Coturnix japonica: one gene and its partners. The protein of the gene in region 3 interacts with the protein of the main gene of each other region in a biochemical or structural test. Links are inferred from orthologs where the notes say so. Each region holds a gene or a part of one and is shown on either strand. Other genes may lie near its edges.

What was found. The genes of interacting proteins can lie anywhere in the genome.
Region 1: of the proteins of BTRC (region 3) and WEE1, one has a biochemical effect on the other in vitro, tested with the Homo sapiens proteins (2 studies listed by BioGRID, with this or other methods). The link is inferred for Coturnix japonica from reciprocal best matches to the Homo sapiens genes BTRC and WEE1.
Region 2: of the proteins of BTRC (region 3) and CCNE1, one has a biochemical effect on the other in vitro, tested with the Homo sapiens proteins (2 studies listed by BioGRID). The link is inferred for Coturnix japonica from reciprocal best matches to the Homo sapiens genes BTRC and CCNE1.

The regions. Positions count from the first base shown.
Region 1 is NC_029520.1:13,541,858-13,546,250, forward strand, and holds the start of WEE1 (wee1-like protein kinase), read right to left. Parts: upstream 2,832-4,393; 5' UTR 2,682-2,831; coding exon 2,115-2,681; intron 1,187-2,114; coding exon 978-1,186; intron 546-977; coding exon 479-545; intron 396-478; coding exon 223-395; intron 1-222. UniProt on the Homo sapiens protein: Acts as a negative regulator of entry into mitosis (G2 to M transition) by protecting the nucleus from cytoplasmically activated cyclin B1-complexed CDK1 before the onset of mitosis by mediating phosphorylation of CDK1 on 'Tyr-15'.
Region 2 is NC_029526.1:7,172,057-7,176,663, forward strand, and holds the start of CCNE1 (G1/S-specific cyclin-E1), read left to right. Parts: upstream 1-1,776; 5' UTR 1,777-2,111; coding exon 2,112-2,125; intron 2,126-2,216; coding exon 2,217-2,307; intron 2,308-2,453; coding exon 2,454-2,522; intron 2,523-4,607. Other genes in the region: uncharacterized protein F13E9.13, mitochondrial-like, read right to left, coding at 876-958, 1,448-1,520. UniProt on the Homo sapiens protein: Essential for the control of the cell cycle at the G1/S (start) transition.
Region 3 is NC_029521.1:20,074,849-20,079,293, reverse strand, and holds the start of BTRC (F-box/WD repeat-containing protein 1A), read left to right. Parts: upstream 1-1,584; 5' UTR 1,585-1,684; coding exon 1,685-1,732; intron 1,733-4,445. UniProt on the Homo sapiens protein: Substrate recognition component of a SCF (SKP1-CUL1-F-box protein) E3 ubiquitin-protein ligase complex which mediates the ubiquitination and subsequent proteasomal degradation of target proteins. Recognizes and binds to phosphorylated target proteins.

The sequences.
Region 1 (4,393 bases), on a different chromosome or scaffold from region 3:
AGTACCCTCCTGCCAGTAATGCAAGGGAACATTATCTTTTTATTTCCAGATGAGAGCAAACTGTTTCCATTTAGAATACTGGGGTAAATGAGTTGTGGTCAAATGACTTCTATTCCCCAGTTTCTAAGTCTGTACAGTATTTAGAAGAAAAACAAACCAACAAACCAATCACACGCACAAAAAAGCACTAAAAGGTGGCTTGTAAGAGTAGGAAATACTCACTCATCCACTGAGCCTGCCAAGGGCTTCTTGGATCTTTTAATAGCATAAATGCAGCCATCCAGCCTCTTCACACATTTAAATACAGAACCAAATTCACCAGATCCAATCTTCTCCAGCTCGTGAAATTCAGTTGCATATCGTGACTTCATATTACTTTCTGTTATTGTGATCCTCTGCAGAGATTAGAAAAGAAAATATTAAGGTGTGCAGACATGCAAAGTGCCAAAACCCACAACAAGCTCTAAACATTCATTACCTTAGCAGGTCTGATAACTTCATCTTCAGGCTCTCCATCACTCGCTTCCATGTCCTCTCCACAAGAGCTGGAATTCACACTTGTTAGTTTTGCAGAATTAAAACAGATTTACAATTCAAGTCTAACAACTACTGACTGTTTGGAGATTCAGCTCTCCCACTCCCCTCAGGTTTAGTCTAACTGAATGAGGTGTTTATAAGGAGAAAGTCAAAACAAAAACCATAAGCAGCTCAAGCACCATTGTTATTTCACACCAGCACTCAGTGTGTTTGCCCTTCCTCAAGAAACAGCCATGTGTGCAGTCTGGACACAGCCTGATCTTTCTCCACCACGTACTAACCAGAAGATCTAATACTAAACAGTTCTTCCACACTACCACAAATCTCAGATGCACAAGCTCGAAAGCTCTTTTTCACATTGCTAACAGATTGGTAAAGAAAACTATTCTTACAGAAGCAGCTCAAGACAAATTTCACAAAGAAAGAAATACATTACTCACTCATTCCAGTGTGTTCTCTTCCTCCTTCGACACTGCCCTTCAGAGTTGTGAAGGAACATGGAATCGGGAGTGAAGGGATTAATATTCACATGAGGTGTTTGTCTAATATTTGAGTCTTGCTTCTCTGACCTCCCAGCGTTCATAAATAAGGAGCCTCCTCGGAGTTTGACTGAGCTGGAGCCCAGTCCTTGGGCTTTAGAAAGCAAACTCTGTATTTAAAAAACAGAAAAGGCATTTATGGTTTTAATATTGCTTTAGACACAACGAGTCACAAGGGGATTTTCATATAAATGATACGGAGGTGAGACTAGACACCGGGCCACGAATTCCAATGACAGGCTTTAAGCAAAAACCGACCATCTACAAGTCGAAGGGTTGTTCATTAAATCGGGCACAGAAGCCCGCAGCCGGGTCTCCCGAGGATGCTGACCGCTGTCCTACTGCATGGCCAGCAGCAGCACCGCATCCAACCAGCTCCTACCGAGCCCGAATGGAACGTCAACACTCCGAGCGTCCCAGCCCTGCTCTCCAAACCCAAACTAGACGGAGACAGTCAAGGTTCTATGGAACCTCAGCACGGTTTGCGTTCCCGCTGGATAACGTCACCGATTTTCTCGAATTCCAAAGGTAACCTCCGGGATAACCGGCGGGGAATTTGGGTTCTGATCTAAAGTTCTCCGCCGGAACTCAGCGTTAAGCTGTTTGCTTTAAGTGTCACAGGAAAGACGCTCGTATCTCTAAAAGGTTCGCTACTACTCAGCGTAAGCCCATCATCCTTCTAGGCCTTATCTAGACGGGACACTACGCCGCCGGGAAAACCTCAGCAACGGTGAAAGTTGGAAGAAAAACAAAAACCCGACCGCCAAAGTGACCGTGCCGACAGAGCGCTGCCACGTTACCGCTCCGTGCCTCGGCCTTCCCCACGAGCACGGGACGGGCACGGCGCCTCGTTCCGGCCGCTCCTCACGTGTCGGCCCCGCTGTGCGCCGCGCCGTGCGGAGCGGATGGGAGCGCCCCCCGCCCGACACAACCGCCACGGCCGCGCCCGGCCCCGCATTCCAACCGCCGGACGCGAGGGGCGCCGCCCCCCCCGCCCGGTAACGGCCGCCCCGCCCGGCCCGTCGCTGTGCCGCTCACCTTGGGGGTGTGCGGCGTGTCGAACAGCCGCAGCTTGCGGAACGTCTTGTGCGGCGGCGTGCCGGGGTACTCGGGCAGCGGGGAGCCGGGCTCGTCGCTACGCGGGCGGCAGCCGCCAGCCGCGGGATGCGGAGGGGAGCGGCCGGCCGAGCGGCGGCCCTTGTGCGGGGGCGGCGGCGACGGCGACCCGGCCATGAAGTAGGAGCCGGGAGACTTGACGGGAGACGAGCCGAAACCTTCCTCCTCCCACGAGTCCCCCTCGTCCGGCAGCGGCGCGGCCGCGGGCTCCATCATCTCCTCCTCCTCCTCCTCCTCCTCCAGCAGGGGCGGGCCGCCCCGAGCCGGGGTGCGGGCGACGGAGAGCGGCGAGTCCGCCTCCTGGAAGGCCGAGTCCTCGCCGGTGCTGTTCCCGCTGCTGCCGCCCTCCTCCTCCTCCTCGTCTTCGTCCTCCTCCTCGCAGTCGCTGTGGCCGCTGAGGAACAGCAGCTTCTGCCGGATCGGGGCGGCCGCCCGTCGGGCCGAGACCCGCCGCGGCGGCGCCGTGGGCTGCAGGCTGAGGAAGCTCATGGCGGCTCGGCCCCGCTCACGGCCGCTGCTCCGCTCCGCCCTGCTGGCGGTATCGGCTGCTCCTCGCGGCGCTGCCCCGGGCACGGCGGCACCTCGCGCCGTTCGGACTCCGCGGCTTTCCCGCGACCGTTAGTCACGTGACACGCACGCCAGCCAATGGCGCCCGCCCCCTCCGTTTGAAAACACGGCGGGCGGGGGCGGAGCTGCGCGCGATGACGTCACGGGGCGCTTTGGCGCGAACCGGGACTGCGGGGGGGGCGGGGCCGGGACCGACACGGCTACGGCTACAGGGCGGGACGGCGCCATCTTGAGCGCGGGGCGCAGCTGCACCGGGAGCGCCGCCCGGTCTGCGATCTCGGAGATAAGGGTGAAACACACGGTTAATAACAACGTTAGTGCGCAGCCATGTCTGCCTTGATAACTGCTGCTGCCTCAGCTCCGGGAGCAGAGCCCCTGGGGCAGACCTGGTACCGCACAAACATAACAAGTGCCTCACTAATTTGGCCTCGCATTAATTTGGCCATTGCCGTGACTCAGTGCCTCCCCACACTCCCAGCTCATGCACAACGAGGTGGTGTTGCTCAGAGCTCCACCATCATGTCCAAGAATGCCATCAGTTTTCCTTCTGACACAGTGCAGAGGGATGTTTCCAATTCAGCGTCATATCCCATACACTCCTCGCATTGTGATCACCTGAAAACTGAAGGCAGACAATGTAACCTATGAAAGAACAACCGGGCATCATTCACACAGAGATGGCTACACCAAGCCAAGTGCTGTACAAACACTTGCCCTGCAATAATTCAGAACTACAGTAATTCAAAACGTGAATGCACCGTGCGGCAGATACCAACTGAAGTATTTGAGTTTCAAGATAGATGGAACACAAAAAGGCCTTTACAAAATACAGCTTTCATCTTGATCAATGGCCCACAGGAGATGAAAAGCAGTTTCTTATAAAGAACCTAAAAATTGCCCCTTCCCTCCCCCCCGCCAAAAAAAAGGGGGGGAGGGAAGAAAGTAAACACTTCAGTTTCCTTTCCAAACTCCACCTAAATGTAACTGTTGCTGCACTGCTTTCTGGAGTCTACAGATACAGCTATTTAATGAGGGTAAGTAGCAAATGGAACTGCAGAAGGTTCCTTGTACAGAGTAACCACTTAACTGTTGATCCTTGTAACAGCTTAAATGGGACAACATCAAGTGGAACAAGGATGAGTTTGTGCAGAAGAGGAAATAGATCTAAAGAACACTAAGAGAAAAATGCAAGAGGAGAAAAGGAATGGTGAAAGAAATGAACAAAATAAACCCAATTGTTTAAAAAGAAAGTTTATTTCCAAACTGACAGCAAATAAGGAAGTATTGCATAAATATGCAACTATAACAAAACGTGTAGCTGCTATAAAAGGACCACGCATTCATGGCTTCTACCTACGTGCCATCCTGAATCCACATAAGCTGTTGTTTTTGCTGTATTTTGATGGGACTGTCAATAGTTGTATTGAAGAAAAGTTGGTTCTTCCCAAGCATGAGTATGGTAACTTGGCTACCCTGCCCACCATGAACAAGGACTAACATTACCAGGCCTATCAACAGCCTAAATAAGCACTACAGAGCCTATTTCCTTAGAGAGTACATTAGCAGAGGAGACTGTCACAGGGAGAAGTGAGCAGGGAAGAGCTGCGTGGTCTTCTCCTGCACTACACTCTTTG
Region 2 (4,607 bases), on a different chromosome or scaffold from region 3:
AAATATGAGCTGAGTAACTACAGTACAGCAGTACAACCACTGCACTGCCTCCATCATGTGACTTGTCTTGTATTTTAAACTCTGTCTTCTATAATTTAGACTAAGCTCTTAAGTTCCATTTCATTTTGTCTGTAAAGTATCATTGTAATTTCTGCTGCTGAAGTGTAACCCAGTAGAAACCTACTCAAAGTTTAGCAGAAAACAGCAGCTCAGAGCTGCAATGGTGGTTCAGCAGTAGCCTTCTCTTGCCTCCACCTAGAACGGTCAAAGCAGGAATGGCTGCTCCCATGGACTAGGATCCAAGGATTACAGTGGGCAGAGAAGGACCTAGGAGAATCTTTTGGTTGTAGAATAATGCTACTGCAGTACAAACACAAACTGTGGGGAAATCCTACAGCCTGTAGGCAAGTCATTCAGTACGTATGTCTGTGCCATGATTTCATGAACGCAGTGTGCCAAGCAGAGCTAAGTAAAGCAGCTTGTCAGACTGGATGATGAAGCATCCTACATCCAGATACCTAGAATGCCAGCAACAGTTCATATTGCTGTCAGTTTTCCATCTGTTTTATTTTTTTTTCTCTTTTATTGACTTGATTCTTGGGAATTGATAGTAATCCTATTTAAAAGACTCAAATTAGTTTGAATCTAAGCTTTTCCAGTTCCACAGGGTGTGTGTGTTGTGTAGTTCAGGTTTTGATACTTGGAGGGCCTACTTGTGTGGAAATAAAAGGTGCAGGTTTAAATGTCTTCCTGAACTCGGTGGTTTTAGGTGCTTTCCATGATTTCTAGGTCACTCAGACTCAATTCAATTCACTGGGTGTGCAGAAGCAGCTTTGTGTAAATACTGCCACGGGAAGAAGGAAACCAGGACTTACAACTCCAGCATCCTTGTAATCTTCTGCTTCTTGACAAGCTTGCTCAATTATTTGTGCCAACGGAAGAGAATTTCTCGGTGTCCCTGCAACAACAGTGCCATTTACCCCAATGTGAAGGCAAGCCATACAGCCAGTGATGCTTTTCTGATAACGCAGTTATATGCGCTGACATAATAAAATAGAGAGAAATGGGGTAAAACAGTTAAACGAGATGTGCTCCCCTTTGCTGAACGTCACAGCTCAGCTGTATCTGCTCGCTCCTGAAGCCACTCACAGATCTGAGGGTATTGATGCGGTGTTGTACCGGCACTTTCAGCTCTTTTACGGCCCGGCACACAGCCATGAGAACTCGGGCCGGACGCAGCACCACAGGGAGCCACGTGTCCGAGCTGTCCCGAGGCCTGTGCACTCCGCCCGGCCTATATCTCGTCATCCCTCATCTCTCTGAGCGCTCCCCCAGCGCTGCGGGTTCCCTCAGGTGCCCGTTCTTCCCCCGACCCCTACAGCCATGCCGCCCACTTTGCGAGCGGGTCCCGCAGCGCCGCGTGTTCCCCGTCCCGCCCCGCGCTCACCTGGCAGCGCAGCCACATGCACCACGCCGAGCACCGCCGCCCGCAGCCGCCCGAAGAGCCGCGGCCCCGCCATGGCAGCCCGTGTCTTTGGTCCCGCTGCCGTCGGCTCAGCCGCTCACCTCGCTTCACCCCTCCGCCGCGGGGTCGCGCCCGGGGCCTCCCGCCCCCCTCCCAGCTCCGCTTCCGCCCGGTGCCGCCGGCCCCGCCCCTGCTCACACCGTGTGATCCCGCTCCCCGCGGTGCCCCGCGCTCCCCCGGGGCCGGAGCGCGCCCGCAGACCCCGCCCCACCCGGGTGCCGGCCCCCGGCTCTGGGCGCGGGGCCACGTGTGCGGGCGGGAGGCGGCCCCGCGCCGCGCGTTTAAATGTCCCGCTCGGTGCGGGCCGCGATGTGCGCAGGGACGGGAGCGGCCGCGCCGTGAGGCAGGAGCTGCCCGCGGTTGGTGCCCGCAGTCGGTGCCGTGCCCCGCACGAGCTGCCCCGCCTCGTCCCCGCCGCCGTCGGGCGGGCACCGAGCGCCGCGCCCGCGCTGTGTCCGGGGAAGCTCCGGGGTGCTGAGCGCTCAGCGGGTCCCGGGGCGCGGCGGGGCCTTTCCGCGCCTCGTGGCTCTTTGTGGGGGCTGCGGCTCCCGGCTCCGCTCGTGCTCTCGGTCCGGCGGCGGGCAGCATGCGGAGGGAGAGGTGAGTCCGGCCGGCCCTGCGGGTAGGCCGGCTTCTCCGTTAGCGAGGCCGGGTGGGCGGCTCTTTCTTAACGCTTCTCGTTTCTTGGCAGCGACTGCGCGGAGGAGAAGGCTCCCGCCAAGGGGGAAGGGGGCGCCGAGGGGACCGTGCGGGCCCGCAAGAGAAAAGCCGATGTGGCCACGGTGAGTGCAGGCCCGGCGGGCGGCACGGCACGGCCTGGAGGGCGGTGCGGGCCTGGAGCTGCTCCCGCGGCCTTTTGTTGGGGGGTGGGTGGCCATGTGCTGCAGGGGGGGTGAGCGGCCCTAAATCCCTTCTTTTCTTTTTGTAGTTCCTACAGGATCCCGATGAAGAAGTTGCCAAAATTGAAATGAGTAGGAAAAAGCAATATGAAAGCCAGGTAATGACTGTGGCCTTAGATCACCTTCCTTTGGTCTTAGTAGCCTGTTGGTGCAGGATGTTGGTATTACACAGATATGCAGTTACCCCGTGTTGTGTGGTGGTGGTTGAGGGGACCACCAGCCCAGGCTGTTGAAGGCCACAAACCACCTTAGTGGCATGGCCTGCTTTGGAGCCTTTGCAAGGGATGAAGCCTACACTGCTTTAAACCATTACGTGAATGCTTCAGTGTACCTAAATGTCCCGGGGCTGCCAGGCTGTGCCCTACAAAAGCCTTCATACACACTTAGTTTTCCACACTGACGTACCTGGAGCCTTGTAGGAGTTCAGTGGTTCACTTACGTGCTGTATCCCGCAGGCCAAAGCATGCAGCCCTTTGGCACGCAAACAGAACCAAGTTTTGAGATGGATCTCTTTGTAACCCTGTCTTATGCTTACATATAACCTGGGAGAGAGGAAAGATCACTTGTTCCTCTTAGTTAGCTCTATTCTCATTGGCAAGTGTTTTTATTAGGTCGAGGGAGTACTTGAAGTTCCAGATTAGGAGTTTATAGTACTGGATACTACTGTGGTGGTGATGTGGGCTTTAGGCTTCTGCAGATGAAAGGGATGATTTGTTAAAAGCCTTTTATACTGTAGGCCAAAGAACAAATGAGGCTGCTCGCTGGGGTTGGTGGCCAGTGCCAGTTTCCAAATAGGACACTTGGCATGATCCAAGTTACTAAGTCAGACTGAACTCCAGTAGCATCCCCTAAACTTCTTAGTGCTGTTCTTAAGTTCTTCAATCTTGATACGTTAGTCGTGTTTATATTGGGTGCTTTATTGGTATCTGGTATTGAAAGCAAGATGCCTTTGTGCATTGAGATGCTTGCTCTAAATAAAAGAGCAAAATCAGCCTCTCGGAAGTAGGTTTATTCTTGTTTATGATTCTCTCCTGTGCATATGCACACACATGCTCACTCACTCTGTTGCAAGGACTTCAGCCAGTTAATGCACATGCAGGGTGATACTTAAGCTGCAAAAGTCATGATCAGGGAGTACAGACAGTACTCATTTGGTACGCGAGGCTATGCATAATGTGGCACATCTAACCAGAAGTGGCAGCTGGAAGTTCTAAGACTGAAGTGCTACCATAACAGATGGGCATCATTGTTTGGAATGGCCTCTGCTTGTTGCAACTGCGTACACTAGTTATCAGTCAACATATTAAGCAGGGCTCAAATGGTGAGCATTTAATGAGGGGATCTCTCCTTCCCTTCTGTCTTTCTTTTGTGCAGTATATTAAACTAATTTCTCACTACTGACAAGGAAGAGCTGCCTGTCCTTCACTGCAGACCCCTCCTTTAGCAAAACATTCTGGAAGAGCTTCTAATAAATGTTTATTCCATAATAATAAGGTACCATTGAAAAAACCCTTATTGCAATTGTAATTTGAAAAGCGGCTTGAAATATATTTTGCATACATTGATCTTCAGCTTTGGAAGTAGATACAGGGATACAGGCTTCCAATTTACTGGGGCTTTTTCTTTTTTCTTTTTCTTTCTATATGGTGTTGCTATTAAATGCTACTTCAGGAACGATAGGTATAGCAATATTCAGATAACTCAGGCAGGAGGCATCCAAAGTATTAATTTAGGAATTTTCCAAGCTGTCTTCAGGACGCTGGTGGGACTTTGGCCCTTTGATTCTGTAAACTGTAGATAAAAATGGATACCTGTGTATCAGTCTCTACACAGAGAAGGTTTTTTTGTTATGACAAAGTAGCCAGATTGTTACAGATCTGTTTAAAAAAGCTAACATTTGGCTGCACAGCAGCAGCTCTTCAGTCTATGGCTTGACACAAGCTATTCTCTGATATAAATTGCCATGGGCCACTAATGAGAATATGTTTATGGTTCCAGCAGCAGTATCGCAGGCTTGTATGATAGCCAGTGAGATAGTTATTCTGTTGAGGCACAACAATTCTAAAATGCAAGCAGCTATAAATCCTCTGCAGCCTGTTCCACGTGACTTCTACATTAAATAAACTGTTTACTGACACTAGGTTATACATGAGGCAAAATATCGTAGTCACATCCCACTTTAT
Region 3 (4,445 bases):
TATCTCCTTTAGTCACAGGCTGCATGGAGGTATCTTGCCCCTAAGTCTCCCAGGCGCCGTCCAACTAGTCCCTGCACACACAGCCATCGTGGATGGGATGCAACAGAGAAGTTGAGCAGGATGTAGGGGGACGCCCAGCTCTGCTGCTCTCCCCTCTTTTTTTTTTTTCTTCCCTTCTTTTCTGCTGTGACTTGGAAAGAACAAAGTCAAGAGACTGCCAAAGCAGAGGAAAACAAGGCCAAGCACACACAGATGGTGAGCCCACAAATTTAATTTAAAATCATCCTTTATTATTCAAAATATTAAAATTCAGGCAAAAATGCCCAGAGGAGCTGCACTGATTAAAGTTCCCTAATGTTTCATGGCCAAATCTTATCGCTTCCTCCAAGGGTCACTGGGACAAGAAGTGAAACCCCTCTGGAGCACAGACAGAGGCAAAGCTCTACCTGCTGTACATCCTTTACCCAAACAGTTACTTACTGACCCAATCAGCTTCACTTAAAGCAAAGCACCAGCTGTTCCTTACCCAATTAATGATTGCCACAGCAAATTAACATGGCGTTACACCAGGCGTGGATGTGGTCCACAGAGCCCGAAATGCACAGAGCAATATGCTAGTGCAAAAATAATCACAGTAATATCTTTACCGTTAGGTAGCATCCTTCATCTGGAAGGACCGGGAGCTCCCTGTGCGGTGTGTGGCTGGCTTCGTGCTCTGCAGGAAGGATGTGGAGTGCAGGGAGGGGATGTATGGTTGGTGTTTTAAGAGAGATTGAGAGGAGCTGCCAGTGGGTGAGGCAGAACTGACTATGTGTACAGCTCTAGGTTCTTGTGATCCAAATAAATTGTTATTTAACTTCTTGTAAACCCACGTTATTTCTTGGTGCTCTGTGGGTTGTCCTGGGGTGTGGGTGCTGGTGTCCTGGGGTGCGTACAGACCTCTCCTGTCCCTCTGCTCTGTATTGTGGGTCCATAATGTTCTGCTGAGGAGAGCTGAGCTGGTCTCTTCTTGTCCAAGGCGTTCAGTCTAGTTAACACAAGGATGACTCCAGTCCTTAATCAGCCATTGCAGTTATGGCTCCACTATGAGCCTGTGCTTTGTATGATCCTGAGAACTCACCTTAAAGACCACATTCACAAATCAGCCCAGAGGACAGCGGTGTCCCTTTGCGATTATAGGGCTCTCTCATTATCATTACTGTTATTTACATAATGGTGGGCAGGGTTTGCAGCACTGGTTTCCAGCACATTCTGGGTGATGCCCGGGCCTGTTACATCCATCGGGTATCACAGCCCATATGTCCTTATGAAAGGGGCCCATCCCCCCCGCACACAGCGGCCTCTATTCCGCCCCTGCCCTCCTGTTACACCGCCACAACCTCCTCCGTACTACAACTCCCATCAGCCCTCTCGCCCACTGACGCCGCGTGCGTCACCCTGCTCCCGGCATACCCGTGGCCGCACAGCCCTCCGGGATTTGTAGTTCTCTCCCACCCCTCAGGCCCTCTCCGGCGGCGCGGCGAGGGACTCCATTTCCCGTGGGCCCGCGGGCAGCGCATGCGCTTTGTTGGTAGCGGGGGTGAGGCGTGGGGTGGGGGGGGGGTGTGAGCGCGGGGCAGCGCAGGTTGGTGTCGGCGCTGGCTGCGGCCTGGCACTGCGAGGAGGGGCGGCCCCGCGGGAGGATATGGACCCTGCCGAGGCCGTGCTGCAGGAGAAGGCGATCAAGTTCATGGTGAGAGGCCGCGGGGAGCCGAGGGGGCACCTGTGTGCGGGGCTGGGCCGGGGGGAGCACGGCGGGGCGGGGGCGGGGCGGGGTGTCCTGGGCCGCGGGGGGTTCAAGTGCTGTTGGGGGACGGGAGGGGGAGCCGAGCGGGGCGGGGGGCTGCGGGGGGGGATGGAACGCGTGGGGTTGTCGTGTTATTGCCTTCGTTCGTGTACTTGAGGCTGTGCTGTGCTGAGCCCCGGCCCCCGGCAGCTGTGTGCCGTGTTCCTTTCCGCCCTGTGCTCGGAGCTGTGCGCGCTGACACTCCGCTCTCACCTTCTGCTGCGTTGCAGTGATGGTGGATGCGCGGCCTGGGCTGCTGGGCCGCTCTTTGGCATGGCAGGCAGCTCTGGGGGTGATTGCAGCCCAGATGCTCTGCACCTTTACCTACATGTGAGGCTTTACACACTTGAACTTAATTCTTTTTTGACTTCAGTTGTTGATATGGTACACTCCGGTACCATCTGAATGCAATGTCAGTTTTGTGTGCCCAAAACTGGCCTTTCCCTATGGAAGCCATCGAAGTACTTGGCAGCACCTGGTGAAAGTTGACTTAGTGTTGGCCTTACAGTCCTACAGACCTGAATCTGAGCTCATCAGAAGGAAGCGATTCTATTAAACTTATGCCCAAGTGAAATCGAGGAAGTGCTGCTTGCAAATGTTTTCTTTTTAATTGAGCTTTGCAACATTTGTTTGAATTCTGCTTTTTTAATCCCGTAGAACTTGTTTCTCTTGTGGTTTGGTGACCTTTTTGCTGCTAGCCCTGTAGTCTGGCAGATTTATAGGGTCTCTGCTCAGTGAAGTGAGAAAATGCTATGGGTACCTTAAAAGGAAAGGTAGCAATTAGTAATAATGAACCACCTTCTTGGGTGTGCAGTTGGCCAGAGGAGTGTCCCTGAGCCTGCTGTGCTCATGTTGGGCCAAGCTGGGTGATGGCAGCCTTAACCTACATTGTGGCTTCCATATCTTCAAGTGTTCCTGTGTGCTGCCCTGACATCTCATGTGTTGCATTTGTCATTCTGTGCTTCAGTTCCCAGTGAATAGCTTAGTTCCTGGCATTTGAGATCTTCCATAAGGTTGGGCCTGGGACCTGAGGGAATCCCTGCCCATCTCACAGCTGGCAGTGTGCCACCCGAACAATAAAACTCCCTGATGCTGAGGAGAGACCTGAGCATGAGAGAGAGCTGCTCTTAGGAGAGCTGCATCTGGTAAGGGCTCCAGATAAAGGGAAGAATTATTGAGGATCAGGCTTTGCTGAGAGCTAAAAGCTAAACCAAGTTCCTTAATGTTTTATTAAAGTGCCTCTTGAAAGCAAAGTACATGCAAAATTGCAGTGAAAGAGGGAGCTTCCCTCTGATCCCCTTGAACTTTTGAGGTGTACGTGTATTTGTATGGGTTGAGAGTGATAAAAGCTTTTGTTTATATTTATATATTTATACCACATCTCAGGCTTTTGCTTCGACATTAATCTGTGTAGTACATCTCTCATTTTAATTATGTTGATGAAGAGTTTTTGTCAGACTTGGTGTGGGCTTTCCCTGTTCTCCATTTGCTGTCGGTGGAGGTGTATGCAGGTAGGTTGTTCCAATAAATGAGGTCCTGTTGTAATTGGCAGCTCAATGCTGCTGGGAAGTCTCCTGTTATTTCAGTCTGACAGCACTCAGGAAGTGCTTAGGTACTGCAGCAGTGGCAGTGCTACCTACTGCATGGAGGTAGTGGATCCTCAGCTAATGCTGAATCATTCACAGCATATTACCCTGTTCATCGAGTGTGTGATGCACTTTGTGTGCTGCTCCCTTCCCTGAAGAGCTCTGCTTTGGGTTGAGGTGGGCTTTGCTGTTAATTAGAGACTTTTCCCTGAGACCTCCCCAGAGCTGATGTATCTCACCACAGATGAATATTCAAACATCTGTAGGTGTGTGATCTATTATCTCTCCAGCTTTTTTGGTGGTGCTGTTTCTGATGTGAATTTGTGCTGGGTTTCATTTTGTGTTGAAGAGCAGCCCTGTAGGTGGTGTTATTTTGGGGCTCCTCTAGAAAATAATACATTTTCCACTTCATGCGAGTGCCTCATTTTTGGCAGTGACTTTGCGCAGTGCTCCTGAGTCACAAGGTATCAGGCAAGTCAGACCTGCTGATTTCATGTCTGACACTCAGAGAAAAACGTCACATGGAATCTTTGTCCAGTGCTAACCTTATAAATGACATTATCTTGCCTTAAAAGGGGCTATTTATTTTTTAATGTGTCTATATTCATTACCTTCAAGGTAAATCCAGACAAGGTTCTGGATGCTGGTGTGTGTGTGTAACTTTTCAATGAGCCTAAAATCTCATTATTCTCCCTGGCCACTAGTGTCTCCATTACTCACTGATAAAACAGTGCTGCATTCAGGTAATATCTGCTACCAGTGTGTGTTCAGCCACCATACACGTCTTCTGATACTTTCAGCTTTAAGTAATGTATTTAACTTCATTCACATACTCAGTTTACCTCTCTGTTTCAAGAAGGCCTAATTTATTCCTGATATTCAGCTGTGGTGGATAAGCACTATGCAATACTGGGCAGCTGCTCACAGGGAGGGCTGTATCTGCTGGCGAAGGGCTGTTTTCTATCACACGTTCTACATTTTGTCTTTCAAAGCTTCTTTTGAGTGAAACTAGCACATAGATATAAAAGACAGTT